4 linked regions of the Notamacropus eugenii genome follow. The protein of the gene in region 3 purifies or fractionates together with the protein of the main gene of each other region. This does not show direct contact. Links are inferred from orthologs where the notes say so. Each region holds a gene or a part of one and is shown on either strand. Other genes may lie near its edges. The genes, in order: GSK3A, HDAC7, CTNNB1 and RELA.

Region 1 (7,850 bases), on a different chromosome or scaffold from region 3:
CATAGATGGATGGGATGGTCAGCTTGGCCTTGGTGAAGTGCCGTGCCACCCGGTAAACGGTCTCAGGCACAAAATCCAGCACCAGATTCAGGTAAAGCTCGTCCTTCTGCCATGAGGAAAGAGAAAGAGGGTGAGGAGGGGGCCCGGGCGCTCCCCAGAGCCAGAGGTGCCAGAAGGGAGGAGCTGCTTGGCCTCTAGGCCTCACTCACCTTTTCTCCACTGGAGTAAAAGAAATAGCGAAGCCGTACAATGTTGCAATGGTCCAGCTTCCTCATGATCTGCAGCTCCCGATTCTGGGGAAAGAAGGCAGAGCTGAGCCTGGGGGCAGGGGGCAGTGGAGCCCCTGTCTTCCCCCTCCCAGACTTGTCTTCTTTTGTGGTCTTGGCCCACTCTTGCCCAACCTGCATTTCCTCCCTGGGACCTTGCCTCAGACCTTTCCTCCCCTGTCCCTGAGACACCAGAGCTCCTGCTCCCTTCTGGGCCCCAACTTATACCTGGCTCAGCTCCCATCTCCCTCCTTCCCTCTCAGGCCCACCACAGGACCCCCATATTCCATGAAGCCTCTCCTCTGATGCCCACTTCCCCCCTCCCCAAATACCAGAAATTACAGGGTTTAGCAAGGGAAAGAATCTTAGAGGTTATAGGCCTGTGACCCAGAGCTAAAGGCAGCCAGCCCAGCTCCCTCCCTGAGGCCCAAAGACAAGTGACTCATCCAAAGCCACACACACACAGAGGCCCAAACAGCACTTGAATCTGGGTCTTCTCAGGTCAGATTCACCTCTCTTTCCACTAGGTCAAACTGTCTCTTCCCAATTCCCCACTCTTTCCAGTCTCCTCCTTCTCAAGCACCAAAGCCCTTGTTCTCCCAACGGGAGCTCAGGCCAACCGCGTCCCCACCCCTTCTCCCTTTCCTTTCTGGGGTGGTACCATGCCCTTCCTGGGCCCCAGAATTGAGTCTTGCCTCTGGACTGCCTCTCCCCCTGGGGCCCAGATCCCAGCCTCATCCCTGCTTGGATCTGGCCACTCATGACCCCTGACACCAGAGCTGCCCTGGGGTCGGCCCCTCTGAGCCAATCCAAAAACCTGCTCTCCCTTCTCTTCTGGTCCCCTTTCCAAACCCTGATTCAACGCCTCCCAGGTCTCAGCTCTCTCTTGTACCAGTCAAGGGTCAGAGGAGTCCCGCCTTCCTCTCCAGTTCTCCATCTCTTTCCTGGGCTCCCTAGCTGCTCTAGAACCCTGATCCTGCCCTCGTCTCCTCTCACCAACCCCCACCCCTGTCTCTTGTCCCTCTTTCCCTCCTTCTCCTCAGGCCTGACCTCTTGGATCCCCTAGAACATGTTAGGCAGAAGCCAGCCCTCCTTTGGAGGACCTCGACCTTCAGTTCACCACCTCTGCAGGTCCTGCCCTCCCAACCCCACCCCTTGGCAGCCCAGAGCCCCGCCCCCAGCCTGGGTGCTCCTGGAGCCTGGATCTCCTGCTCCTCTAGACACAGTCCCCTGTCCTCACCAGGCTCCAGCCTCCAAACACTTTCCTCTGCATTCTGGTCTCTCTCAGTGGGGAGTAGGATTTGAGCGGGGTGCCCAAGAGAATCCCAGCCTAGCCCTAGCCCACCTCCCTTTGTTGTCACTAAGTCCAAGCCCACAGCACACCAGTCCTTGGCCTGACTGTGTTGGGGCTCTCAGATCTGCCCGGTGCCCTCCCTGATCTCTAGGGTGTGGGTCCAGACATGCGCACTGCAGCACTCAGTACCTTGAATCTCTTGTCCTGCAGCACCTTCTTGATGGCCACCAGCTCCCCAGTCTCGGCCAGGCGGGCCTGATAGACGACACCGAAGGAGCCGTTGCCGATCACCTTGATGTCCGTGTAGGCCACTTCCTGGGAGCGCTCGGGCCCCTGCCCCAAGGTCGCCATCACCGTGGTCACTTTCCCAGTGTCACCTGGAGAAGAGAAATGTGGGGACTCCCTGCTGGGGGGCTGGAGAAGGGGTAGGGGAGGTCACATTCAGCCTCTGGGTCCAGTCCCTCTGCCCTTCCTGGGGTCTGTGTAAGGGGGAGATGAGGAGCTGATCTCAGCATCCCTCCTCAGTCCGGGAAAGAGGAAGGGCCCCTGACCTTTAACCTCCAGTCCCTAGGGCCACCTTACTGTTGGGGGGGAAAGGCTGAGACAAGACTTCTGGCTGGTGACTTTTGACCTCTACAGCTTCAGCCCCCTTAGTGGTACCTGCGGGGGATTAGGGGGAAGAAGAGGACTCCGTGACCCCCAGGACCACTCTCCGTTATGGAAAGTGGGGCACCCCGGCCCGGTGCCTCCCCAGGGCTGGGGTTCCTTGGCCGGTGGCTGCCCGCCCGCCCCTCCCCAAGCCCTGCAGAGGGGCAGGGTGTGCCGGGGGGTCGCGACCCCGGGACCCCGGGCCAAGTACGGGGTGGCCCCGAGCGCGGGAGGGGGCTGTGGGGAAGAAGGAGGGCAGGGGAAGCCCCCGCCCCTACTCACGGCCCAGCTTCACGGCGGGTGGTGGGAAGCTCGAACCTCCGCCGCCTCCGCCGCCTCCGGGGCCCGAAGGCAAGGCCACGTTCACGGCCCCCGCACCGCCGCCGGTACCCGAGCCGCCGGGGCCGGGACCGGGAGGAATGGGGCCGGGGGCAGGACCCGGGCCGGGGCCCGCACCCGAGGCTGGCGGGGCCGGACCCCGGCCCGGGTCCGGACCGCCGGCCTTGGAGACGGTGGGTCCGACGGTGGGTCCGGGGCCTGATCCGCTTCCGCCCGGCCCCGGCCCGGGTCCCGCCGGCCCTGGCTCTCCGAACGAGCTGGTCCGGGCCCGGCCCGAGATGCTGTCACTACTGCCGCCGCCGCCGCCGCCCCCCGGGGCTCCGCCGCTCATGGCGCCTCAGACGCCGCCGCGCTGCTCCCCGGGGCCCCGGCCGGGCCGGGCTGGGCTGGGGTCCGGCTCCGCTCCAGGCCGCGGCCGCTCCGGCCTCCGGCTCCGGCTCCGGCTGCGGCTGCGGCTCCGGCTCCGGCTCCGCGCCGCGGGGCTCGCCGGGAAATGCAGTTCGCGCACGCTCACACCGCCGGCCTGACCCCGCGGAGCGCACTGGGAAATGGAGTCCTCGCTCCACCACAGAAGCAACGTCATGGGCTCCGAAGATCGGGCCCTGAAGGATGTCGGGAGATGCAGTCTCCACGCGCTCTCGGGGAGCTGGCCCAACAGAGAAGCCTAGGAAATCCTGGGAAACAGCGTACATGCGCCCTCTCGATGTGCTGGGTGAGCCGAGGGCGCTGAAGACGCCTAAAGAGTTCGGCTCCCTGAAGAGCTTTGGGAGCCCCAAGGAATGCCGGGACAAGTAGTCCCCTCCCAGAAACTCCCAACTGTCTTGTCTTACGTCACGGACCGCGACGGCGAAGTCGCGGAAATATAATTCATTGCAACATTTAGGCACCTAAAGCCACAGAGGATCGTGGGAGATGGAGTTCGAGATCACCTCCACCCCCTCCTCCTGTCAAATTACGGGCCCAAAGAAGACCCTGAGAAAAAAAGTGAGGAGATGCCGGCCGCGAAGAGAAAGGACATCTACATCGCTCCCCGCCTCCTCTCTTCTTTGGTAATTAGTTGCAAAGAAAGGGGAAGCAGTGGAGTCATTGCAGGTTGTATGATGAAGGCGCTCGAGTATACGTCATGGACCCACCCTCGTAGGGGGGAGGGGTCAGCGAATAACAAAGCATTCTGGGAAGTGGAGTCTTCCTTTAACCGATAAGAGCTGGGAACCAACGCCCTCGCGCAACGACCGCCGAGAAAAGGAACGCTCTAGTCTTCAGCTCCTCCCCCACCCCTAAGGAATGCTGGGAAATGCAGTCCCCGTTTTCCTCCCCCGTGCTTCGTTTTCATTCCTCCCCGCGCACCCATGGAATACTGGGAAGTTGACTCTTCTCATTCTTCCTCTCATGCATACGGATGCACGTACACCAACACTCACTCTCGATGCTGAGAGGAAATGAAGTTCTGTAGTATACCTTTACCTGAGTCTCCGGAAAAGCTAGAAACTTTCAGCACTTCCTAACCCCAGTGAATTCTGGCTATTGGAGTCCTCACGTGGGTGCCAGCCTGACCCGACGCCCACCTCGTCCTACAGGTTTCTGGTATTTGTAGTTCTCCCTGAGCGGACAGTAGGCTAGGGTCGAGTAAGCATCCAGAGAGCTCAGTTCGGAGCCAGATGTTCTGGGATTTGTAGGTCTCCACGCTTATGGAGGTGGCGTTCCTAATGGATAGCAGGGGCATTGAAGAAATCTGTAATTTTCCAGCGAGACTGTTGGTAGCGGACGTAAAAAATCAAAGTCCAAAGCTGAAATTTGTGCTGCTGGGAGTTGTAGTTCCCAGCCTGGGCAAGCTGCACTGCCCCCTGTCGGACGTCAACCAGAAAAAAGTATGCGCATGTTCCGAAGTGGGCCACGCGGCTCCTTCTGAAGGCTCCGCCCCTCTAGGGGCGGGACGGGAGCGGGGAGAGGCCCACTGTGAGTTGCCGTTACCCAAGGTTGTCCGGGAGGGGGCGGGGCCGCTGCGTGAGCATTCTGCTACAGTTCTTAGCAGGGCAGGGGCGGGGGCAGATCCTTTAAAGGGGAAAGGGGCTCAGTGAGGAGGGGGTGCTCAGTGCGGACGGGGTGCTTGGACCAGGGTTAGGGGCTCAGTGAGGAGAGGGTGCTCAGTGCGGACGGGGTGCTTGGACCAGGGTTAGGGGTTCAGTGAGGAGGGGGTGCTCAGTGCGGACGGGGTGCTTGGACCAGGGTTAGGGGCTCAGTGAGGAGGGGGTGCTCAGTGCGGACGGGGTGCTCAGTGCGGACGGGGTGCTTGGACCAGGGTTAGGGGCTCAGTGAGGAGGGGGTGCTCAGTGAGGACGGGGTGCTTGGACCAGGGTTAGGGGCTCAGTGCGGACGGGGTGCTTGGACCAGGGTTAGGGGCTCAGTGCGGACGGGGTGCTTGGACCAGGGTTAGGGGCTCAGTGCGGACGGGGTGCTTGGACCAGGGTTAGGGGCTCAGTGAGGAGGGGGTGCTCAGTGCGGACGGGGTGCTTGGACGAGGGTTAGGGGCTCAGTGAGGAGGGGGTGCTCAGTGAGGAGGGGGTGCTTGGACCAGGGTTAGGGGTTCAGTGAGGAGGGGGTGCTCAGTGAGGAGGAGGTGCTCAGTGCGGACGGGGTGCTTGGACCAGGGTTAGGGGCTCAGTGAGGAGGGGGTGCTCAGTGCGGACGGGGTGCTCAGTGCGGACGGGGTGCTTGGACCAGGGTTAGGGGCTCAGTGCGGACGGGGTGCTTGGACCAGGGTTAGGGGCTCAGTGAGGAGGGGGTGCTCAGTGCGGACGGGGTGCTTGGACGAGGGTTAGGGGCTCAGTGAGGAGGGGGTGCTCAGTGAGGAGGGGGTGCTTGGACCAGGGTTAGGGGTTCAGTGAGGAGGGGGTGCTCAGTGCGGACGGGGTGCTTGGACCAGGGTTAGGGGCTCAGTGAGGAGGGGGTGCTCAGTGCGGACGGGGTGCTTGGACCAGGGTTAGGGGCTCAGTGAGGAGGGGGTGCTCAGTGCGGACGGGGTGCTTGGACGAGGGTTAGGGGCTCAGTGAGGAGGGGGTGCTCAGTGAGGAGGGGGTGCTTGGACCAGGGTTAGGGGTTCAGTGAGGAGGGGGTGCTCAGTGCGGACGGGGTGCTTGGACCAGGGTTAGGGGCTCAGTGAGGAGGGGGTGCTCAGTGCGGACGGGGTGCTTGGACCAGGGTTAGGGGCTCAGTGAGGAGGGGGTGCTCAGTGCGGACGGGGTGCTTGGACCAGGGTTAGGGGCTCAGTGAGGAGGGGGTGCTCAGTGAGGACGGGGTGCTTGGACCAGGGTTAGGGGCTCAGTGAGGACGGGGTGCTTGGACCAGGGTTAGGGGCTCAGTGAGGAGGGGGTGCTCAGTGCGGACGGGGTGCTTGGACCAGGGTTAGGGGCTCAGTGAGGAGGGGGTGCGCAGTGCGGACGGGGTGCTTGGACCAGGGTTAAGGGCTCAGTGAGGAGGGGGTGCTTGGACCAGGGTTAGGGGCTCAGTGAGGAGGGGGTGCTCGGACAAGGGAGACAGGACAAAGGTGTATTTAAAGGGCTCGGAAGAGCGACTCCGTTCAAAAGGATACTTGGTTCTAGGAGAGGAGATGGGGAAGCCAGAAGAGGTTCCATAAGGGCTGGAGGTGCAGGCAGTGAGGAGAGGAGTGCTAAGTGGAGATAGGGACCAGGGAAGATGAAGGGTCCGTTCCTTGGAGATGGATAGGAGATGGGGGCTGGGGGCAGGATGAGTATGGGCTTGGGGACCAATGAAGAGGGTGGAAAGGCTTAATTACCAGGATATTGTACTCATTGAAGAGGGTGGAGAACTCAATGAAAGGATGAAGGGAGCCGGTTTCTCTAGGGTCAGAGGAGAAGGCTAAAATTGTAAAGGGGCCACCTCACCCTCCATCTCCCACCGTCTCAGGGACAGGCTGAGGGGATCCCTTGGGGCTGGGATCAGGACCAATGAGCAAGTCCACTCTTCAGTGGGGACTGAGAATTTGTGGAAACCAAAGTCTCCACCCTGCAGGGTCCCAGCCCCCTCCTGAAGGTGACGACATCCTTTCCTCCGGCCCCCCCCCCCCCCACTACCACCACCCTCCCAGCAGCATCTGCGTTGCCTGGTGACAACTTCCTGAAATAGCCTGGCGCCTCCACCCCCAGCGGCCCCCACCCCAGGGAGTGACTTACATCACCCAGGAGACTGCAGTGGCCCAGTCCGCCCTCTCATGCCTCAGTTTCCTTATCAGCCAGCTCTCATGCTCTTCCTACTTTGGTGTTAGCCATCCTTCCCTTCTCTGACACGATTTCCCCATTTGTACCTATTTTTCCCATCCTCTCCTACCTAATAAGTGTGTCACAGAATGTAGTTAAAAGGGGGCTGCCAGTTTATTAAGTTTCTTTTAAGCACCAACTATGTGCCAAGAGCTGCTCCAAGTCTCAAAAGTCAAAAGCCAGTTGAGAAGGCAGAGATGACTCACCACAGCATACACAGCTAGAAAATTGGGGGTACCCCCCAGTTGCAAACCACTCTCTTGACTCGTCACTGGTTTAGATGACATGTGTGTTTGTTCTTCGTTGCCGAAGAAGACCATGCCATCAGAAAAATGATGACCTGACTTGCACTTCACTTTGTTTTGAGTGAGGGAGGGCTGAGCAGGTCACCAGCTTCATTTCTCCTCCAGATATCTGAATCCAGTGACCAGATATTCATCAGGATGACTGGAGATGACCCAGGATGAGGCAATTGGGGTTGTGACTTGCCCAAGATCACACAGCTAGTGAGTGTCAAGTGTCTGAAGTGAGATTTGAACTCAGGTCCTCCTGACTCTTGCACTGGTGCTCTATCCACTGCACCACCTAGCTGCCCCAATCATGCAAATATGCCCATATTTACAGATGAGGAAACTGAGGCCCAGAGAGTGGGAGAGATTTGACCACAGGTACAGAGGTAAGAAATTAATAGAAACAAGCTCAAATCCAGGTCCCTGGCAGTGTGGTAAAAGTAGATTCAGTTATAAAAGATGTGATCTTCCATAGGTGGGCTGGGTAACTCTGGGCATGTCCCTTAAGCCAGCCCCAGACAATTCACAGAGCTCAAAAATTACAAAGCCTGTGCTGACTTGTGTAGCGAGGGGTAGTTTCCTCACCAGTACTTTCCTCTAGCAAGCAGATCTCTTGGTCCCTTCCAACAAACTCCTTCCTAACACTTTTTTAAAGACAAAGTGCTTTATTCTTTGAATCAATGATGCAAGTATCACTACCCTCATTTCGGGTCCAGGGTCACACAGAATCACACTTGGG
Region 2 (7,709 bases), about 180 Mb from region 3:
TCCAGTCTAGAATACGACTGAGGCCAAGCTGAGGTTGTGGAGAGGGTAAGCAGAAAGGGTACAGAACAGGCTGATAAGGTTCTGAGCCTTGGGGAAGCCAGGGAAGAGAAGGGAATATGGACACAGAAGGACTAGGTTAGGGATGAGAAGGCCCTAAGCAGTGTGGTATAAGAGATGGGTCCCTGGCACGGGAGTCAGGAAGTTTTAGCTCTAGCTCTGCTAATGGTATAAGGCTAAGCAAGTCACTTCATTTCCTTGAGTCTCAATTTCCTCATCTGTCAAGTGAGGAGGTTAACTACTAGATGATTGCTAAGGTGCTTTTTTCTAGCTCAAAAATTCCATGATTCTGTTATTGTGGGGTGAGTTAACCCTGGGCTAGCTTCACTTCCATTCTTCTAGATTAGAGCTGCATGTGCCTCTTCCCAGGAATGTCTCTAGGAATGCTCCTGGGCCTTCACTGTGGCTGCACCAAGAAGATCCTTACTTCTCCCAACTCCTGCTCTCCTAGCATGAGCTTCCCACTTCCTGGGTTGGCAAGTAAGATTCCCCAGACCTGGCTTCCCTAAGGTCCAAGTCAAGAACAAAATACAGTTACAGAATGCCCATAATGGCACCAAACTAGACACTGGAGGTGAGATTAGCATGGCTAATTCTAGCCTCATCTGCAGCAAACAATAAGCCCAATTTTTCTCCCTGTTTCATTGATGAGAAAATTAAGCCTTGATGTTAAGGGATAGTTGCTTAGGAGAACTAAGATGGCAGAATTGGAAAAAAGTCTTCCTCACCATCCTGGGCATCCCCCTTCAAGGCTTGGTTGCTGTAAACAACAAAATTTTGTGTGCCTACTGTGTACAAGACATGGTGCCATTTCCCCTACCTGACCCTCCCCACCTACACACACACACACACACACACACACACAGTAAGCTCTTTGTATCCTTAGACTTAATACAATGTCTGACACATAGTAGGTGCTTAACTGACAAAAATATGATACAGGTTCAACCCTGAAGATACGAGCACACAAACCAATGATGGGTTCGTTCACATTCATAGATAATCTTTGACATCTAGTCAGTAAAATACCATACTGAGGAGGCTGGTCCTGGGAATGATACTGTGGGACAACTCTGATGGTGACAGAGCTTCTATCTGGGGCTAAAGGGCAGTGAGAGAATCCCTGTTAGCTCAAAATCCCTGAATTCCTACTGTGGCCTCACTGGATGACGTCCCATGAGTTCAGTTTTGTTCTGTGCCTTCCTTGGTCAGAAGGAGATGATGTCCCAGGGCTCTAGTCACCGGAGAGGCTTTGAAGGGGGTGGTGGCAAATTGTTTTACATAACAGAATGGCAGACAAGACAAGGGACAAGGTGAAGAGCATGGGGACCAGAATTCCAAGACAGGGCCAAGAAGATTACAGCTTCAGGGCTGAGCAGAGAAGGTACTAAGTGGTCAGGAATGAGAGTCCCTCAAGAGAATCCTGGATGATAAAGGAGCTCAGGCTATTGGGAGCCCTGAGGGAAGATTACAAGAAGAGAGGCCTTGTGATCTCTGGCTCCCCAACTTGGGAAAAACCTAAGAAGGCTCCTAGGTTTATACTAGGGGCAGATTTAGGGCTTAAAGATGACTCCCTAAGGAAGCTGAATTCCCAGAACACCTCTCTCCTGTCATATAAATTAAAAGAAAAGCCACAGCATCAAAAAGTCTCAGGCAGACATAGAATGGAGGACTAGGATGGGGAGTTTCTTAATGGAGAGGGGAAAAGGAGAGACAAGAAGGATGGACAACAGAGAAGGGCAGACGACATGAATTTTGGTTGTGCAGGGGATCATATGATAAATGGGACTCGAGGAAAAAAAAATATGAGCAGCTCAGCTGAGTTAGGCCCGAGGAAACTCTCCCTTTCCCTTTGCAGAAGGCTTCCCGGTCTGAAAACACTGTGTTCTGGAAGGAAATGCAGCTGTCTGTGTACCGCTCCAGCACCAGAGAGTAGTCGCGCCCCCCCCACTCCCCCATCCCCCAAATACAATTTGTTATTCTCCACCTGCTTTGCCCCAGAACCTATCAGGGGGTGCCTTCACTTCGCACTTTCAAACACAGGTCTCTAAACACTACTGAGTAAGATGGGAGGGGGGAGGGCTTAGGGAAGAGGAAGGGTCTTCAAGAAAGCTCTCTCATGCCCTAATTCCTCCGGCTTTCAGCTTCCTCCTCTGTAAAAGGAGGAGGGTTCAACTAGATGCTCTTAAAGGTCCCTCTAAAAGTCTGCGGCTGTACCCCACACTGCAGGGGGTGTGTGCCCCGGTCCCAGGGCCAATGGCCTGGGGGGAGGCGATATCTGACTCAGGAAGGCAGCACAAGACAAATGGCCAGCACGGGTGCATCGCCCGGCCCCCTACACAGCTCCCTGGACGGGCCTGGCACTCCTTCTCCAGGCTCAGGAGTGGGGGATATGGGAGTCGGGGCAGCAGGGCGCAGGGAAAGCAGCCCGCGGGCCTCCTTCCTCTGATCCGCCGCTACCCCCAGGGCGGGCCAATGCGGGAGCCCCACGGCCCTGGAACCGGCCACGACCTGGAGCTACTCCCCCCCCCTCCCCGTGGGGCCCAGACGATCCAAGGGCCCCAACCGTGGAGGAGAGGGACGAAAGCGCAGCGCCAGCTTTGCGCCCAGCTGCACTGGGGGGCCCACGGGCTCGGGGTGCGGTGGGGGGCCGGGACCGTGCCAACGCAGGGCAGGGAGGAGGAGGCGGAGACCTGGGGCCGGGGCCGGGGCGGGCGATGTACTCACCAGCACCGGGTCTGTGCATCCAGGGGCTGGGGCCCTCAGAGCGGGGGGCTCATGGTGGGAATCAGGGCGGGCGCGGGGGGTCGGGGGCGCCGGCCTTACATCCCCCGAGGCACCAGAGGCTGCAGAGAGTCGGCGAGACCGGGAGAGGAAGGGAGGGGGCCGGGAGGGGGAGGGCCCTGGCAGCGGGGCCGTCCGGGTAGGATGACAATGGAAGGAAATGCTTTATCTGAGTCTGAGAGCGGGCCAAGGGGGAGGGGAGGGGAGGGAGGGGAGGGGAGGGGAGGAGAAGAGAAGAGAAGGGAGGAGAGGCGAGGGGAGGAGAGGGGAGGGTGCACACAGCCAGCCCAGCCCCGAGAAGCCCAGCGCAGCCCAGCCCAGCCCGGCGCAGCCCAGCCCAGCGCAGCCCAGCACCACACAGCCCAGAGCTGCGCGGGTCCACACACAGCCCAGACACAGGCGCCACACCGAGGCACGAAACAGACATACACAGCACAGAGACTCGCAGAAACTGACGATCCTTACACAGCGGAGAAGGCATGACACCCGGAGACAGCTGACCGAGAAGAAGGCACAAAATTCGGAGGCCCAGACCCGCACGGATGCACACAGGAACACAGTGACACGCACAAAAAGAAAGCAGCCCCTGAAAAGAGGCACTCAGATGCGTCCAGAAACGCCCAGACTCCTGTTCACATACATAACACACACACCCATACTGCAATACGCAGAAATAGATAGACACCTGCAGAGAAAGGAAGAAAAAGATACATATAGATACATTCAGACATACACACCCGAACACAGACACACGGTAATTTACAAGCAGAGTCCCACGCTTGGAATTCCAGCTACAAACAGAACTTTGCAGGAGAAAAGTTTCAAGATCTGATTTGAATCACTGCCTAACGAACTCACCCCCACCGCCTTCCGATCTTCCTGTAAAGAGAACAGAAGGGAATTGCCTGATCCTAGAAAAGAAAAGGGGGTCACAACAATGTTTATTTTGAAAGTTTTGGGTTGTTTTTTTTTTTTTAAAAAGGAATTTCCCAAGGGATTTCCTTCCCTCTTTCTCTTCCCTCTCTTCTCATTCCTCCCCCTCCAATTCCAGTTCCCCCCTCCACCCTCCCTGTCCCTATGAGTCAAACTTCAGCAATGTGCCCAGTGTCTCCCAGTGCATTACAGCGGATTGCAGAAATGTTCCCATCTGTGAGTCGGAATGCAGCTGCCTCTAGTCCTCCCTCCCCTAATAAATCTAGGGCAGGGATAGCCTGTTCACAGAAACTCCTAACCCCCTCTCCAAACTGGAAGTGGAGGTCAGAGTCAGGGGTCAGGGATCAGGAGCTAAGGACCTCCCTGCTATTCTCTGTTGGCCATTGGCTGGGTCCCCAGTTTAGCTAGAAATACAGCCACTTCTGGGATAGGGTGTGTCAGCCACTCTCTGAAGCAATTTTGGCCTCTCCTGTGTGTTCGGGGCCTTAAACTTGAAAGCAGGGAGTGTCCCTGAAACTCTTATCAGGATTAGGAAGCTACACCATCCTCATGAGTCTGCACAACTGAAAGGGAAACTGAGGCCCAAAAGAAAGGTCTGTGCTATGGCCATAGTTCTTTGGGATGCCCACATTATAGGCAGAAACCTGACTAGTCCTAAGAGAGACAAGTTTGAGTTTAGCATAGGATCGTAATACTGGGAACCTCTTCACTGCAGAGAGGGTACCCTCCTCCCCCACACACAATTCTTCCTCTTGTTGCCATAGCCATAGCCTAGGGCCAAGGCCTCATCACTTTGCACATTGGATGACTGCAACAGAATCCTCCCTCTTAGCCTGCCTAGGACCTGGGGGTTTTAGTGGACTGTATGCACAGTGAGTCAGCAGTGTGGTGAGGTGGCCAAAACAACTAATTCATATTTAAGACTACATGAAAAGTGCCCAAATGGAGCTGTGTGATATAGTGGAAAGACCTATGGACTTGCTGTCAGGAGACCCAGATTCAAATCCCACTAGATATTATTAGCTCTGTGACTATAAGCAAATCACAACCCCAGTTTCCTCACCTGACAAATGGGAATGTTAGATAGGGCTGAACATGGTATAGACAAAACTGCCCTTCCTTACGCTGACTGATCACGAATGCTAGTTCAGCACTTGGGTGCTTCGGGAATGACAAAGGCTGCTTCCTACTATGTAGGACTCAGTGCAGAAGGGTTCCCACTTTGAGAGAAAGAAGCAATCCCTTCACTGGCCACTAAGTAGGAAGAACCAATGATTCAGAAGACCTTTGAAAAGGGAATGACTCTGCTCTTGGCCTCACTTCCCTTCCTCCTGATGAGCATATGAGGAACCTCTTGCTAGCAGGATGGGGGAGGGGCTGGAGCTCTTCCCCTACCCTAGCCTCACGATGACTGCTTCTATATATCAGCTAGAAAAGGGGGTCTAAATGAGACAAGCTTGACTCAGGGCTCTTGGATGCTCTTTGCACTTAGTGTTTCCTTTCTGAATGTTGATCTTGAGATGGATATGTCTGGGATTGGATGATTCCATGTACCTCTAATTCATATTACACATTGAGTATATTTCTACTCTCCCTCCTTTGAGGACACCATAGCTAGACATGAGCCAAAACCTAAGCTTTAAGCAAATCCATTTCAGGGTTCAAAGTTTTGTGTGTGTGTGTGTGCGCACATGCACATGTGTGTAAGGTATAATGAGCCAAATAGTGAGAAAAAAAGGCTAATTTCTCTCATTGGAGCCCAGGCTTTGCTAGGACTGTGCCAAGAGTATGCATAGACACAAACCTGAGAAATGCCCCTTAGTGGTGAAGGGAATGGATACAGTAGCCTAGCCCCCTAGGCCCAGCTGTAAGAACTTAGATGAATAATAATAAGATGTACTGGCTGTTTGGAGAAGGGTATGTGAATTGTTATCATTATCCTGCTTAGACTATTTCTGGGATACTATAGACAAATCTAGGTCTGCATCAAGACGGTTCAACAAGCATTTATTAAGCTCCTACAATGAGCCAGACAAAACTGGATCATCTCTAAAGAAGGGTGACCAGAGTGTTGAAGGAACTTTAAGTTATTGGTTGGAGGATCAGTCAATCTCGTAAATGTTTATCGAGGGTCTAATATGCTAAAGACGCTGGAGATACAAAGACAAAAAGTAAAATGCCTCAAAGGAGTTTACAGCTTAACAGGGGAAACAACATATACTCATATCACCATCTGCAAAACACACATGGGTATATGCCAAGCACATACAAAGCATATCAGATACAAAGTAACTTTGGAAGGGAAGGCAGCTTGCCTAGCTCCTAGCAGCTGGGGCGAGTTGGGAAGGTCTTATATAGAAGGCGCTTGAGCTGAGACCTGAAAGAAACAAGAATAAGTGCATTCCAGGTAAGTGTGAGAGAGGGATGGAGTGTTGTGTGTGAGGAATGGCAAATAAGCTGGTATGGCCAGACTAAAGAGTGTCTCCAGAGAAGTAATGTTTAAGAATGCTGCAAAAGGAAGATGCAACTAGATTGTAAAGAGCTTTGAAAATCACACAGAGCAGTTGATATTTGATCCTAGAAGTAATAAGGAACCTCTGGGGTTTATTAAATATGGTGATGGCAAGATCAGATCTAAATTTTAGGAAAATCACTTTAGTTGATTATGTAAAGGCTTGAGTCAGGGAGGACAATTAAAAGTGAAGAGGTGATGAAAACCTGAAATAAGGTGGTAGCTAGTGATTAAAGGGGGCATATTTGGGAAATTTGTCAAGAGATTGGATATGTCAAGTAAGTGAGAGTAAAGAGTTAAAGGTGACACTTAGGATTTGTACCTGGGTTACTGGAAGGATAGTGCTTCACTTAATGGTAATTTGAGAGTTCAGAATATGAATGGGTTGGTGGAGAAAAATAATGAGTTCCATTTTGGACGTTGATTTGGAGATGTATATGGGACTTCGGGAGGTAAATGATGAAGTACATAGAGTGCTGGGCCTGGAGACAGGAAGACTTGAATTCAAATCCCACTTCTGACATTCACTAATTGTTTGACCCTGGGTAAGTCACTTAAACCTTGTTTGCCTCAGTTCCTCTGTAAAATCAGCTAGAGAAGGAAATGGCAAACCATTCCAGTAACTTTGCCAAGAAAACCCTAAATGGGGGTCACAAAGAGTCAGACACAACTGAAGAAACTGAACAACAAAAAAGATTAGTGAGAGGGTGGGGGTGATCGTGGGAAGCAATCAAGTAAAAGGAGAGCCAGTTGGGTATTAGGATAAGGGATTGTAATGTAAGTAGAAGAGAAAAGGATGCTGATGGTGAATGACTGTTTTAACTGGATGAGTATGAGGTAAGATCCTCAGCCGAGAGGTTGGGAGGAGGGAGTGCTTCGGGAGGTTTGAGTTTAGAAGAGGTTTGGGAATTCCCCATTCCCTGGGGTCAGGAGAGGGGTGGCCAGTAGCTCTGTGGCCCCTCACACCTCCCCCCCCCCACACCACGTACACATTCAACCACCTCTTCCTCTGCTACCCCAAACTGGTCAATGCATTTGGAAAAAGAGTGCAATGTGGGGAAACACAGCATGTAGGGGACCTCATATCCAGGAAGGGAGGCAATCAGGCGGTACAGTGGATGGAGCTTAGGACCTGGAGTCAGGGAAACTAAGTTCATATCCTGCCTCAGACACTTACTTGCTAGATGTGTGACCCTGGAGGACTTTGTGAACTTCAGAGTCTGAAGGATTTGGGACTTCCTGTCTGTTTCCTAGATAGGTTAATAGACAGACTGGACACAGATTTATAGCTCTACGAGGGGCCCAGCAAGGAAGCCACACCATGACTAAGGGGAACTTTTTGAACATTCCAAAATGGGGACAAAAGGACTTTCAAACACCTGGAAGGGGCTATATTATTCCTTTGCCACATATGCTGTCTCAG
Region 3 (6,957 bases):
GCTCAAATCCACATAGTAGTGAAATGCCACAAACACAATATTATTCTTTTTAAAATAAAAAACATGTACGTATATGTATATACACATATGAAACCTTTCTCTCGGTTCCGTAAAGAAAACACAGATCTGAAGCGAAAAATCACTTCTCACATCCCAGCCCTGACCAAGAGGACCAGACTTTCCCCCTTCCCCACGGATTGCTAGCAAATAGGAACCCCTCAAACTGGCCCGCAAAGTCCACGGTTCTCAGAACTACGAACCCTTCTGGGGGAGCGGAACCTCCACGTTCCCCGCCGAGCTCTGCAAAAGCTGAGGCTGGATCCAGAGGCGGCACCCCCACCCCAAAGTAAGAAAGCCCCCGCACGATCCCCGACGCTCCCACTTCTCAGGAACATCGGGACTCTGCCCCCCGCAGAGCGCGCCCCCCATCTCCTCCAGAAGCCCCTGCCGCCCAGGATACCCCTCCCTCTCTTCCAGAGGTCCCTGCCCCCTCCCCCTCCCCGTAGCGCGCCTGGTCCACCACCGAGGGGAGGCTGCCCGCCCCCGACCCGGCCCCGGGGCTCCCTCCCGGCGGGCCGCGGCCCCTCGACCCCCCTTCCCGGAGGCGGGCAGCCCCATCCATGCGCCCCTCGCCGGGCCGGGGCCGGGCCCGCCGCAGCCTTCCGAGCCGGGCCGGGCCGAACCGAGCCGGGTCGGGCCGGGCCCGCCAGCCACGCCACCCCGCCCCGCCGCCCGTCCCTCCCTCCCACTCGGGGCTCGCGCCTCCGAGGAAGTTTCGCCCCGGAGAGCGAGCGCACAAGCACCTCAGGGGAACGGCCGCCGCCCGCCGCCGGGGTCCCTTCGCCTCCGCACTCCGGCTGCTGCCCCGCCGCGCTCCGCTCCGCTCGCTCGACGTCGCCCAGAGCCGCCTCAGCGCCAGCGCCCTCCGCCTTCCGCCTCCGCCGGCTCCCTTCCACGGGATCCTCCTCCTGCCACGGGCCGAGAGGCTTAAAATGGCGCCGCACACGGAGCTCTTATACGGCGCGCAGGACCCCGTGTATCCTGCCGCCGAGGCCGCAGCAGCCGCCGGCGCCGCGCGGAGCGTTCCACCGCGCGGGGGAGGGAGCGAAGGAGGGGGAGGGGCGGGATGGAAGACGGGGAAAATAGTCCCCACGCCCTGCCGCGGCAGAGCCAGCCGGGAGGCGGCCGAGAGGACGCCCGCGGGGGCCGGGGACTGCCGCCTCGGCGCTGCCCACACCCCCGGGCCCCGAGCGGCGGCGGGAGGGGCGGGCGGAGGCCGCGGCCCCGCCAAGCGTAGCCACAGCGTGGGGGTGCAGTGATCTGGGGAAGGGGCGGGGGTGTGATGAGGCCCGGAGCCTCCTCTTCCCGAGGTGGGAGCCCGAGACTAGTTCTTGGGAGGAGGGGGAGGGGCAGCAGGGGGAGGGCGGCCTTAAAGGGGCAGCGGTGGCGTGACTGCGGCCCCCCCTCCCATGCACACTCGCCTTCTCCTTCTCTACCCCCCCAACCCGCGCGGACCCCGGCACACAATGGAAACCCAATCCCTCCCCAGCTGCCCCCCTCCACACTGTCGGGCCTTCCTGGCCCCGGCCCGTCCCCTTTTCCCTGCAAGGTCTAACTTTAAGAAGAAATAAACGCACCCGCCATCCTCGGGCCTTCCACCCAATGGGAGCGGGAGGCTCGGGCCGCGCGGGGTCCGCGGGGCACTCCGCGCCCCCGGGGTTCTGGGGTGGGGAAAATACTACTTTAACCCCGGGGCCCAGGGGCGCGCCCGGCGCCGGAGCCTAGCGCGCGCTGCACTCCCCGCGCCCCATCCCGAGGAGCCCGGGGGCGCGAGGGGGAAAGCCGGGGGAGCGGGAGGAGGAGGGCTCCACGGACGGGGGCGCTAATGGGGGTCCCCGCTAGCGCCAGGCCCCCTCAGATGCTCTGGGAAGTTGAGCCGCCGGAGCGCAGGGGAGGCCCGGAGGCGGGGGTGCCAGCGACCCCCTCCAGCCCTCCTGCGCTTTCGGGGATGCCTCGGGGGCCACGACCCTCTTCTTTTCCTGCCTTCCCCCCTTTATTCCTCTCATCCTCTCCTTTGAAGCTTTTCCTTCCTTTCGTCCTTTATTCCAGTCTCCCTTTCCTTTAAACTTTCTACCCTCCTTCATTCCTTTTCCTCTCTTTTAAAGCTTTTTTCTTTCTCTTCCTAAGTCTTCCTTTCCTTTTCAACTTCCTTCCTATCTTCCTCTCCTTTTAAGCTTTCTTTTCTTTCTCCGTCTCTCAAGTCTTTTCTTTCTCTTTCTCTCTTCTTTCTCTTCTCTCTCTCTTTCTTTCTTTCTCTCTTTCTTTCTTTTCATCCAATCAGACATTTCTCCGTAGACAACTGCTTAGCATCCTTCACTTTTCCCTGCGCCCCTGCTCCATCTCTCTTGCGAGTCCCACAGGCGACCCTCTTTTTCTTGGCCGAACAAGATGTGACCTCCCCAAAGTGCACTTTCCACCACCCCGCCCCACCCGCCAGACTGCTTGATGGAAAAAATGTTTGGGTATCTGGGAGTGAGCAGAGAGACTTGCGGGGCGCGAGGGCTGTCTCCAGGCTCCGGCCCGCGCCCTGCTGCTTCAGCTCTCGCTGTGCCAAGGATGCCAGGCTTGGCCGGGGTGGGGGTACATGCCCCATGCCCTCCCCCGGCTACTTCTGCTCGCTTTGGGCCGAGGGAGCCAGGTTAGACGGAGAACCCGACCCCCGACGCCCCTCTTGCCTTCTCCCGGGGTTTGCAGGCTCCGCGGCCGCCGGGCAGGCTTTGCTCCCCCCGCTTCCCCTTCTAGTGAATCCTAATTCGGTGGACGAGGGGAAGGAGCGTCCGAGGGCAGCGCTCCGGACTCCAAGGAGGCCGACAAAAGGAGCGTCTAGGCTGAATTCGTACCCTGCGTCCTCAGCCGGCGTTCTGCCACCAGTGCGCACATACCCCAGCCAGCCTCCGCAGCAGGCCAGGCAGAGGGGAGGAAGGCGGCTTCTACCTGCCCTGGGAGGCGCTGGAACGCGGAAGGTGCTTGGAGGGAAGTTGGGTTCCTCCTTCCCTCCCGTGGGACTGGGAAGGCGAGAGCTGCATATCCGGACAAAGAAGGGCTGGGGCCTCACGCCCCCTCCCCGCTTGGCCGAGCCAGGTGGGCACCAGCCTCTCAAGGTCTGGCTAACACTTGTTCAAGGGCAACTGGTTTCTCGATTTGGGTCCTTCAGGTGTGATTTAGGGTGTTTCTCCACAGCACAATGCAAAAGATAACTTTCGCCTTTAGGGAAATGTATCGGTGTAGACTGCCAAGATAGATAACTCCCAAAGAATTTCTTTAAAAAAAAATTGCGCCACTTGAGAAGCCCATACTGATCTAATTTACCAAGTGATTACTCAAACACAATTTAATCTAATTATTACATATATGTGTAAAAATATCCACACATGTAATAATTATATATTACATATAAATGATATAATTGTGCCTATGTAATGTTCCCTGACAAAAAAAAAAAGACTATCTTGGGAAAATCCTGCGGAGGCCCCTTCATCCTGAAGCTGATTTTATAAGATGTTCTTTTTGTAACGGTTTATTGATATTTTCTATCCCACTGTTATTTTTCCAATACCCCCCCAAGAACCCTCCATTTTAACCAAAAAGAAAAAAAACAACTTTTAAGTCAAATCCAAGTTCAACAAACCCATAGGGCATCATGTCTGACCTGTAATACAGAATACAATACAATATTCTGTTCCCACAGACTACCAGTTATCTATAAGAATGAGGGAAAAGTACTTCATCTTTCAGCCTCTGGAACACAGATTGGATAAGACAAGTATTCTTTTTCTGCAGATATGTATAATTTGGTGAGGCACACCTTCAAAATAATAACCATTTTCCATTCCTACTTTAGAGACATGAGTTATTATTTAAATAATCAAGAAGTCCTAGTTCACTATGTCTTTACTGATAGCAACTATCGAAGTATAATTTAGGATTATGGATTAACTTAAAATAATCTTTGAATTACATTTGCTTTCCTAAAAATCATTCACAAAATTCCATTTTTTACTTTAGTTCAACTGTGCTGAGAAATGTGTTGTCATGTCTATGGCTTTATTTGTGGGTTTAGGGGTGTGTATGTGTGTGTGTGTGTGTGAATTTTTGTAGTGCCTTTTGTCTAAGAAGTTCAAGTATGTAGTTTACAAATATCCCCGCCTAATATGCAATCTCTACTTATTTTCAAACAAAATCTACTAATCCCCTCACATACACACACCCTCCAAAAGACCTATCTTCTCTAATTTGTTCTGACAGGCTGAAATTAGGGGCATTTTCAAGGAAAAAAAATGGAGATGCATTAGTAATCTAACAATGTATTTGTCAAAGCTTGATCATATGATAGAATGACTTTTCTTTTGTCTTGAGCTTTTTTCCTCATTTAACACAGAGACAAGCAACAAAGGTTATCTTAGTGGCTATATAGAATAGCTGTAATTAATGCATTCACAAAGAATGGGCCTTTGCGTATAGGTATTACTCTGGAAATCTAGTTATTCACTTTCCCGGGATGAATTCATGGTATAGTTTTTGTAGTTTCACAGTCTTTCAGAGCTGATTTGTTCTTTAAATAAATCTGTTTTGTGACTGCACTAAAGACAATTTTGCCACATTCTCTTTTTTTTATGTCAAATACCATTCAGACAAATATATGTATGTTTCTGCAATGGAGAAAGCCTAACTACAAAGATGATATTCAGATAATGACTTAAATCCCTTGCTTAGAACAATATTCTCCCTGTTTGTCTGTGTGACTTTGCAGGGAGTTCTATAGATTCTTCTCATAATATCACAGATGCTAAAGAACAGATAAGCATAAATCATAGATTAAGGTAAACTTAATTGGTCATAATTCCAGTGGAGCAAAATATAAAATATAGCTACTCCTTTAAAATTTTTTAAAGTAGCAAAGTTCCTGACAATTTAAGACAAATCAAACATCCTGTTCTCAAATCTTTGATCCTAAATCCCAGGCTAAATATACACATTATGATTAATTTGCTTAATTATGATTTAATTTTTTAAAACTACTGAATAAATACCAAATGATTTTTAAAAGAAATGATGCCATTCACATGTTTATCATTTTTTAAATGCAGCAAGCTATTACATTGAAAGAAATGGCTTTCTTTCCTTTTATTGCCATTTAAAAGCTAAAAAACCCACACACTTACACTTTGTTCTCCAAAGAGGTGCACAAATGGATGGTCTGCTTCTGCAAGTTGAGTATTTTAGTCCAACTGCAGAAATATGGTTTTCAATTCTTGAGCCTAAATAAACACTGATTTTTAATATAAATCAGAAACATTGCAGTGACACAGTAAGTGATTATTTGTCTCAATCAAACTCCAATTATGAAAGAACCATTGTTCATGATCACAGTAAAACAAGTTAGTTGAATTTGACAGTAGCAGTTCCAATTATTTCCTTGAAAATATGAGATGAATAGCGTGTGGAATGAAGATAGATATTGTTATCATGGTAGGGAGAATATCAGGGATCAAAATATAAGATTAGTCAGTCAAATAAGTGATACTAAAATGTTATTGTTATTGACTATGCACATTTGTTTCAGAAATACACATGACTCTCATTTTTTACTCACTTTTCTGTTCTAGAGTCAGTCCCTTGTATTTGACATAAATTAATTCAATTTGTGAATCTTCAGCAGCCGTTAAGTTCTGAATTTCAGGGTGTGTTTATAGAAACCAAAAATGTCTCCAGCTGATTTCACCATGGAGGCATTAGTCATCGTAATATCTGATTATTGGCTTATCAAGCAGTAGTTATAGTGGAACATGAGTGTAAAGCTTTCTGTTTCTAAAACATGTGTCTTTTAATCACCAGTAGGCAAATGAATAACCAGAATGTTTTGTAAATAAAAGAAATAAACATTAATTCAGCCAACATTATGAGCAAAAGACCCGTTTTGAGCCTGGACAGTTAAATCTCATAGAAATAAACATCCTATCTATCTATCTATCTATCTATCTATCTATCTATCTATCTATCTATATTTTAAAAAGACATCTAATTCTTTACATTGTATACCTTAAGTCAGTGCATATTTCCAGTATTTAGTCAGACTTACAGAGGAAAGAATTATCAAGTCAGAAATCAATAACACCAGCAACCAAGGCGTGACCTCCTTCTCGCCTGTCTTCCCCAGGTCCTTACCTATGGGCAGCACTCCAACCCTAATGTCTAAATGAAGAAGGCTAAGAATACTAAGATTCAATGCAAAAGTAAGACCATATCCTGGCTTTGCCAATAAACACTTGAGCCTGCATGGAATAGAAGGCCAAGTTTCCTTGTTGAAACTGCCCTTGTCCTTGCTTTATGGCAAAACTGAAAACATTAAGCAACCATCAGGATAAGCTTTTCGTTGAACATATCACCAACTGGGCTACGTATGGATCATGAGTTTTGATTTGCAATACATCATCTCAGGGCTCAGTTTAATCTTTTGATTTATTTCCAGCTGAGCAGACTAAGTAGTTGTAAATACCCTTTATCAAACTAGACTGTTGACTACACTCATACACAGGAGTAATCTAAGAATCCACTGGACAAATTCAATGAGGAGTTACAGTGAAAACTTGTGTTTGGTCTTCACCGTAGGGAGAAAGAATCCTAGTGGTGGTGATGGTAACTGGGATGGCAGTAATGGCGGCAACAGCAATGGCAGTTCTATAACCATACAAAGAAAACACAGCACATTTCATTGCTTCATGCCCCTAGTTCTTCAGCAAAGTGAAACAACAGTCCTAGTCAGACCCAACGAGTAAATATTTATGACCACCACTGACAGTAGAGGATGAGCAATGGATACATCGCCTAAGATATATAAAACACAAAATGGTGAGGATTTTTGAGTATCTGTAAAGTGCCAGATAAATATCATCCCAT
Region 4 (7,297 bases), on a different chromosome or scaffold from region 3:
AAAAGGGATTAATGGCCTGTGGCCTTTGACTCAATGATCTAATTACTGAAACTCCACAAAAAAGCTAAAGATAGAAATGGCAACAGGTCGTGCAAAAACCAAAATATTCATAGCAGCTCTATAGCTTTCACAGAGTAGAGGCTCATCAATTAGATATGGGTTAAAAAAATGACACATTACTATACAGTAAGAAATAAACAAAAAAATTCAGAGAAAAATGGGAAGATTTGTGTGAACAGATGCAGAATGAAACAAGCAAAGCCAAGAAAACAAGAGATCGCCTGAAGCAAGCCAAGGCCACAGTAACTGAGCAACTAATGAGGGGCCAGCAACAGAGGAGTGGGGGGATGCGGACACAAAGGAAGGAAGAAAGGGAAATGACAGTGACATCGAAACAAGCAGCAGCACAAAAAGCATTTGAAAAGGATCCTGAAGCACTGGTGTAGAGCTGGCCAGCAAGAGGGAGAAGCCAGGGAGTGAGGCAGGGAGGCATGGGCAGGGTGGGGTGGGGCTGCTGGGGGCCCTGGTCATGCTGGCCTAGGAGCCTCTCACCATTGAAGGGGTTGTTGTTGGTCTGCATTCGATGGGCAATGGCCTGCTCCAGATCTCGCTTCTTCACACACTGAATCCCCAGGTTCTGGAAGCTAACACCTCACACCTGTCAGCCTGCCTGGCACCCCAGGCCCAGTCCAGCCCTTGGCCATCCTCTCTGATCCTCTGCCCCACCCGAAGCTCGGTGCCTCATTTCTACTGCTCTGTCCTCCCTACCTTGTGGGGTCCTTCTGGTTCCCCCTCCCCACGTAGGAGAACCCCTGCCCTCGCCCTGCCCTGACTCCCTCGCACCTGCTGAGCCTCCTCACCTATGGATGCAGTGGTCAGGGCAGAGTTCAGCCTCATAGAAGCCATCTCGACAATCCTTCCCCACCAACTCATGAGGGTGAGGTCGGTGAGGGGGCTCCTTGGTCACCAGGGAGATTCGCACAGTTCCTGGTCCTGTGTAGCCAATGACCTGGGAAAGGAATGGAGGCTGAGCCACTCCCACCTTCGGAGAAGATCAGTGAGGGGTCCCAAACCCATCAAAGGGCCTCTGTCCCTCTGGGAGCCTGCCACCTCCTGCCCTCTGCTGGAGGCGGAGGGTGTGCTCACTCCCAGTCCCGGCACCCCTGCAGTGGGGGGTTCTGAGCACACCCCTGAGCCCCGAGCCCCCTGCAGTGGGGGGCTCTGAGCACATCCCCTAGCCCTGAGCCCCCTGCAGTGGGGGGCTCTGAGCACACCCCCGAGCCCCGAGCCCCCTGCAGTGGGGGGATCTGAGCACACCCCCGAGCCCCGAGCCCCCTGCAGTGGGGGGGGTCTGCCCCCGAGCCCCGAGCCCCCTGCAGTGGGGGGCTCTGAGCACACCCCTGAGCCCCGAGCCCCCTGCAGTGGGGGGTTCTGAGCACACCCCCGAGCCCGGAGCCCCCTGCAGTGGGGGGCTCTGAGCACCCCCCCAGCCCCGAGCCCCTGCAGTGGGGGGCTCTGAGCACCCCCCGAGCCCGGAGCCCCCTGCAGTGGGGGGATCTGAGCACACCCCCGAGCCCCGAGCCCCCTGCAGTGGGGGGGGTCTGCCCCCAAGCCCCGAGCCCCCTGCAGTGGGGGGCTCTGAGCACACCCCCGAGCCCCGAGCCCCCTGCAGTGGGGGGCTCTGAGCACACCCCTGAGCCCCGAGCCCCCTGCAGTGGGGGGTTCTGAGCACACCCCCGAGCCCGGAGCCCCCTGCAGTGGGGGGCTCTGAGCACCCCCCCGAGCCCCGAGCCCCTGCAGTGGGGGGCTCTGAGCACCCCCCGAGCCCCGAGCCCCTGCAGTGGGGGGATCTGAGCACACCCCCGAGCCCCCTGCAGTGGGGGGCTCTGAGCACACTCCCGAGCCTGGAGCCCCCTGCAGTGGGGGGCTCTGAGCACACTCCCGAGCCTGGAGCCCCCTGCAGTGGGGGGCTCTGAGCACACCCCCGAGCCCCTGGCAGTGGGGGGCTCTGAGCACACCCCCGAGCCCCGAGCCCCCTGCAGTGGGGGGGGTCTGCCCCCGAGCCCCGAGCCCCCTGCAGTGGGGGGCTCTGAGCACACCCCCGAGCCCCGAGCCCCTGCAGTGGGGGGCTCTGAGCACCCCCGGCCCCTGCAGTGGGGGGCTCTGAGCACACCCCCGAGCCCCGAGCCCCTGCAGTGGGGGGCTCTGAGCACACCCCCGAGCCCCGAGCCCCTGCAGTGGGGGGCTCTGAGCACACCCCCGAGCCCCGAGCCCCCTGCAGTGGGGGGCTCTGAGCACACCCCCGAGCCCCGAGCCCCCTGCAGTGGGGGGCTCTGAGCACGCCCCCGAGCCCCGAGCCCCTGCAGTGGGGGGCTCTGAGCACCCCCGGCCCCCCGGCCCCCGGGGCTCACCTTGATGGTGGGGTGCGTCTTGGTGGTGTCCGTGCTGCGCTCCCCGGGGATGCTGCCCGCCGAGCGGCCCTCGCACTTGTAGCGGAAGCGCATCCCCCGCTGCTTGGGCTGCTCGATGATCTCCACGAAGGGGCCCCGGGCCGGGGGCGAATCTGGGGGGGCGGAGGGGGGCGCGCACACCGCGGGCTCAGGACCCCCAGCCGCCGGACCCCGGGCCTCCCCCCGCCCCTCCCGGCCCCCCCCGCCCCGCCCCCACTTACCGGAAGCGAAGATCATGGGTAACAGGTCTGAAAAGGGGAGGGGGCGCGAGGGAAATCGAGTCAGGCGCCGCCCTCCGCCTCCCCCCCACGCCCCGCCCCGGCAGGGGGGCGGCCGCACGGACCTCCGGCCGGCCCGCCCGGGCCCCACCCGGCCCTCCCCCTCCCCCGGTCAGAGGTCAGGCTCACCCTCCATGGCCAGGGTCCTGGGGGCGGGGCCGGGGTCGCAGCTGGAGCCCCCGCGGCGCGCGCCCTACGCCCGAGCCATTCGCCAGAGGCGGAAATGCGCCGCGCGCGCTCGCGGCGTCACTGCTCGGAATGCGGGGCCGCGCCTGCGCACCAGGGCCTCCCGGGCCGCGCGCGCCCTGCGCGCTCCCGCTAGCGGGGCGGGGCGGCCCGAGTGCGCAGGTGCGGGGAGGTGGCCGCCGAGCAGGGCTAGGCCCGAGGGCAGGGAGGCGTCGGACCCAGACCGGCCCCTCCGCGCTCCGTTTGGCGTCTCCGTTCAGCTCCCCAAATCGCCTTTCCCAAACGTTCCGGCCGAGGACCTGGCCACCACCCAAGGCGGGGTGGGCGGGGCGGACAGGGAGCTGCCCTGATTGGCGGAGCGTGAGACGCCGCTGCGTGCTTGCGTCACGCGTCTTCCAGAAGCACGTGGTCCCAGGACGCTCCGGGAGGGGCGAGAGGAGGGGTGGGCGGAGCCGGAGTGTAGGGGAAGCCCGAGTTTATGAAGCACCTACTGTGTACTGTGGAACGAGGGGGAGGCGCCTTGGGGGGCGCGAGCAGAGCAGAGGGTCGAGGCCCCTCCCTAGTGCCGGCGAGAGAGTCCGATGTCCGAGCGCCAATGAGGAAACTCCCTCCCTCGTCCGCCAGTGTAGGCCTGGCACCCGCCTCTCCGATCAGACCTTGGCCAGCTCGCTTCTAGCTACTGTCCTGTTTCTCTAATGCCCTTTGTGGCTAAAGCCCAGGGAAAGGCTGTCTACACCAGATGCCACCACTGACTCTCCTGGAAAAGGCCGTCTACACTAGGCGCCTCCACTGTCTCCCCTGGGAAAGGCTGTCTACACCAGATGCCCCCACTGACTCTCCTGGGAAAGGCCATCTACACTAGGCGCCTCCACTGACTCCCCTGGGAAAACCTGTCTACACCAGATGCCCCCACTGACTCTCCTGGGAAAGGCCGTCTACACTAGGCGCCTCCACTGACTCCCCTGGGAAAGGCTGTCTACACCAGATGCCACCACTGACTCTCCTGGGAAAGGCCGTCTACACTAGGCGCCTCCACTGTCTCCCCTGGGAAAGGCTGTCTACACCAGATGCCACCACTGACTCTCCTGGGAAAGGCCGTCTACACTAGGCGCCTCCACTGTCTCCCCTGGGAAAGGCTGTCTACACCAGATGCCCCCACTGACTCTCCTGGGAAAGGCCGTCTACACTAGGCGCCTCCACTGACTCCCCTGGGAAAACCTGTCTACACTAGATGCCCCCACTGACTCTCCTGGGAAAGGCCGTCTACACTAGGCGCCTCCACTGACTCCCCTGGGACAGGCTGTCTACACTAGATGCCCCCACTGACTCTCCTGGGAAAGGCCATCTACACTAGGCGCCTCCACTGACTCCCCTGGGACAGGCTGTCTACACTAGATGCCCCCACTGACTCTCCTGGGAAAGGCCATCTACACTAGGCGCCTCCACTGACTCCCCTGGGACAGGCTGTCTACACCAGATGCCCCCACTGACTCTCCTGGGAAAGGCCATCTACACTAGGCGCCTCCACTGACTCCCCTGGGAAAGGCTGTCTACACCAGATGCCCCCACTGACTCTCCTGGGAAAGGCCGTCTACACTAGGCGCCTCCACTGTCTCCCCTGGGAAAGGCTGTCTACACTAGATGCTCCCACTGACTCTCCTGGGAAAGGCCGTCTACACTAGGCGCCTCCACTGTCTCCCCTGGGAAAGGCTGTCTACACTAGATGCCCCCACTGACTCTCCTGGGAAAGGCCGTCTACACTAGGCGCCTCCACTGTCTCCCCTGGGAAAGGCCGTCTACACTAGGTGCCTCCACTGACTCCCCTGGGAAAGGCTGTCTACACTAGGCGCCTCCACTGACTCCCCTGGGAAAGGCTGTCTACACCAGATGCCCCCACTGACTCTCCTGGGAAAGGCCGTCTACACCAGGCGCCTCCACTGTCTCCCCTGGGAAAGGCCGTCTACACTAGGCACCTCCACTGACTCCCCTGGGAAAACCTGTCTACACCAGATGCCCCCACTGACTCTCCTGGGAAAGGCTGTCTACACTAGGCGCCTCCACTGACTCCCCTGGGAAAACCTGTCTACACCAGATGCCCCCACTGACTCTCCTGGGAAAGGCCATCTACACTAGTTACCTCCCTCCTCTCTCAACCCCCTTACAGTCGATCCAGCTTTTGCCTTTATCATTCCACAAAAACTTCTCCCTTAAGTTACTAATTATCTCCTTAGTGGCCACATCCAGTGGCCTCTGCTCCACACTCATTCTCCTTGACCTCTCTGGAGCCATAATCACTCTCTCCTCCTTGGTCCTCTCTTACCTCTAGGTTCTTGGGACCCCCACCCCTTTCTCCTCCTACTTCTTTGACAACTTGTTCTCTGTCTCTGTTGTGAGATCCTCCTCCATATCCCGTGCTCCAACCTTAGGTATCCCACAGGGTTTTAAATCAACATATGCCCAAACTAAACTCATCCTCCTCTCCCCACCCCACCTTCCCTATGCCATGGTCCTCTTGGAGAGGGAAGGACAAGCAACCACAGTGACCACCTTCCTTGTTAGTGCAGAGGGCAAAAACATGCTCCCAGCCCCAGTCATGGATTCCTCATTCTTTTTCACACACACAACCCATATCCAATATGATGCCAATTTTACCTTTGTAATCTCTCTCCAATACACCCTTTTCACTCTGATGCCACCACCTTCCTGGGGCAGACTCTCATCACCTCACACCTGGACTATTGCAATGGCTGCTCAGAGAGGTGCAGAGGGTGTCTGCCTGCCTCTAATCTTTTTCCACTCCACTCCAACTGCTAAAGGGATTTTCCTAAAACCTAGTCTCACCATGTCACTCCCTACTCAGTAAACTCCAGTAGCTCTCTGTTGCCAGGAGGATCAAATACAAAATGCTGTGTGTGTGTTGGTCCTTCGTTGCCAAAGAAGACCATACCATCAGAGAAATGATGACATGACTTGCACTTGACTTTGTTTTGAATGAAGGAGGGCTGTGCAGGTCACCAGCCTCACTTTTCCTCCAGAGCCATCTGAATCCAATAACCAGATATTCATCAGGATGATTGGAGATGACCCAGGATGAGGCAATTGGGGTTAAGGGACTTGCCCAAGGTCACACAGCTAGTGAGTGTCAAGTGTCTGAGGTGAGATTTGAACTCAGGTCCTCCTGACTCCTGCACTGCTGTTCTATCCACTGCACCACCTAGCTGCCCCAACAAAAATGCTGTATTTGGTATTCAAAGTCCTTCATAGCCCTTTCCAGCCTTCTTACACCTTACTCCCCAATGTGTACTCTTCTCTGCAGTGACATTGGTTCCCAGAGCGGTACCCCATCTCTTGGATCCAGTCACTCCTTCTAGCTGCCTCCCATGCTTGGAACGTTCTCTCTCTCTGTTTTCTGGCTTCTTTTAGGTGCCAACTAAAATCCCACCTTTTACCAGAAGCCTTCTCCCCCCTTAATTCTGGTGCCTTCCTTCTGCAGTTGTGTATAGAGCTTGTTTGTATGTGTTTGCACGTTATCTTCCATATTAAATTGTGAGCTCCTTGAGATCAGGAACTGTCTTTCATCTCTTTTTTGTATCCCCAGTGCTTAGCCACAATCAGTGCCTGGCACATAAATGTTTATTTACTTACTGATGTCCTATCAAAACATTTGTGGTAGCCATCTACGCCATCTATGCCATAGCAGCTGCCTAGGCTATCTAGACAAACATTCTAGTGTCTTTACAAGGGTGATGAATTCCTGATAGGGGAGAGTGAACACAGTTTCTTTTCTTAGGTCTCAGGGGTCAAGTAATTGTAGGTTTTAGAGACAGCAGCTACGTCCAGAGTGACTGTAGCCCTTAGCAGAATTTATCAGTCATCAGTCCTGGCTGATTAAGGCTTGTTAGAAATAGCAGCTGACACAACACCAGAGGGCAGAGATTAGTAGGACAGACCCACAATGCTCAAGGCCTTTGCAGGGCACTAGATAAAGTTTACAAATTTTTTCTCCCAGTAGCTGTGACTCGCAGGATTGAGGAGGCCAGGCCAGCTTGGCCAGGATTGATAGCACCATGGACTGCTTTGGCCATGTCTTTAGATCACTTGATGACCAGGCCAATGTCATCACATCTAAAGCCTTGACCAGCTCCAGGATCATCTTCAGAACCTGATAAGAAAACGTTTATAACCTCAGACTTCTTCATGGGAAGGGATGAGAAATGCTTCTCTAAGGACTTCACATCCTTGACTAGTTTGGGCCAGCTTGAGGACAGGAAAATTCTGTGTTCGTTAGGAGTAGAAACTCCAACTTAGAATCCTAAGAGACTATGCCACGCGTTGAGATGTGCTAGCGAATTGGTTAGGTTCTGCCAGGACATGACATAGAGC

Evidence for each region.
Region 1: the proteins of CTNNB1 (region 3) and GSK3A purify together in Homo sapiens (affinity purification with mass spectrometry; 3 studies listed by BioGRID and IntAct, with this or other methods). This does not show direct contact. The link is inferred for Notamacropus eugenii from reciprocal best matches to the Homo sapiens genes CTNNB1 and GSK3A.
Region 2: the proteins of CTNNB1 (region 3) and HDAC7 purify together in Homo sapiens (affinity purification with western blotting; 5 studies listed by BioGRID, with this or other methods). This does not show direct contact. The link is inferred for Notamacropus eugenii from reciprocal best matches to the Homo sapiens genes CTNNB1 and HDAC7.
Region 4: the proteins of CTNNB1 (region 3) and RELA purify together in Homo sapiens (co-immunoprecipitation; 3 studies listed by BioGRID and IntAct, with this or other methods). This does not show direct contact. The link is inferred for Notamacropus eugenii from reciprocal best matches to the Homo sapiens genes CTNNB1 and RELA.

Annotation. Positions count from the first base shown.
Region 1 is NC_092876.1:26,014,939-26,022,788, forward strand, and holds the start of GSK3A (glycogen synthase kinase-3 alpha), read right to left. Parts: upstream 3,004-7,850; 5' UTR 2,879-3,003; coding exon 2,491-2,878; intron 2,221-2,490; coding exon 2,143-2,220; intron 1,938-2,142; coding exon 1,750-1,937; intron 294-1,749; coding exon 210-293; intron 107-209; coding exon 1-106. UniProt on the Homo sapiens protein: Constitutively active protein kinase that acts as a negative regulator in the hormonal control of glucose homeostasis, Wnt signaling and regulation of transcription factors and microtubules, by phosphorylating and inactivating glycogen synthase (GYS1 or GYS2), CTNNB1/beta-catenin, APC and AXIN1.
Region 2 is NC_092874.1:219,421,722-219,429,430, forward strand, and holds the start of HDAC7 (histone deacetylase 7), read right to left. Parts: upstream 3,003-7,709; 5' UTR 2,804-3,002; coding exon 2,785-2,803; intron 1-2,784. UniProt on the Homo sapiens protein: Responsible for the deacetylation of lysine residues on the N-terminal part of the core histones (H2A, H2B, H3 and H4).
Region 3 is NC_092874.1:44,339,048-44,346,004, reverse strand, and holds the start of CTNNB1 (catenin beta-1), read right to left. Parts: upstream 3,016-6,957; 5' UTR 2,901-3,015; intron 1,251-2,900; exon of another isoform or gene 804-1,250; intron 1-803. UniProt on the Homo sapiens protein: Key downstream component of the canonical Wnt signaling pathway.
Region 4 is NC_092873.1:18,442,434-18,449,730, forward strand, and holds the start of RELA (transcription factor p65), read right to left. Parts: upstream 3,010-7,297; 5' UTR 2,865-3,009; coding exon 2,858-2,864; intron 2,699-2,857; coding exon 2,672-2,698; intron 2,564-2,671; coding exon 2,412-2,563; intron 1,010-2,411; coding exon 861-1,009; intron 645-860; coding exon 553-644; intron 1-552. UniProt on the Homo sapiens protein: NF-kappa-B is a pleiotropic transcription factor present in almost all cell types and is the endpoint of a series of signal transduction events that are initiated by a vast array of stimuli related to many biological processes such as inflammation, immunity, differentiation, cell growth, tumorigenesis and apoptosis.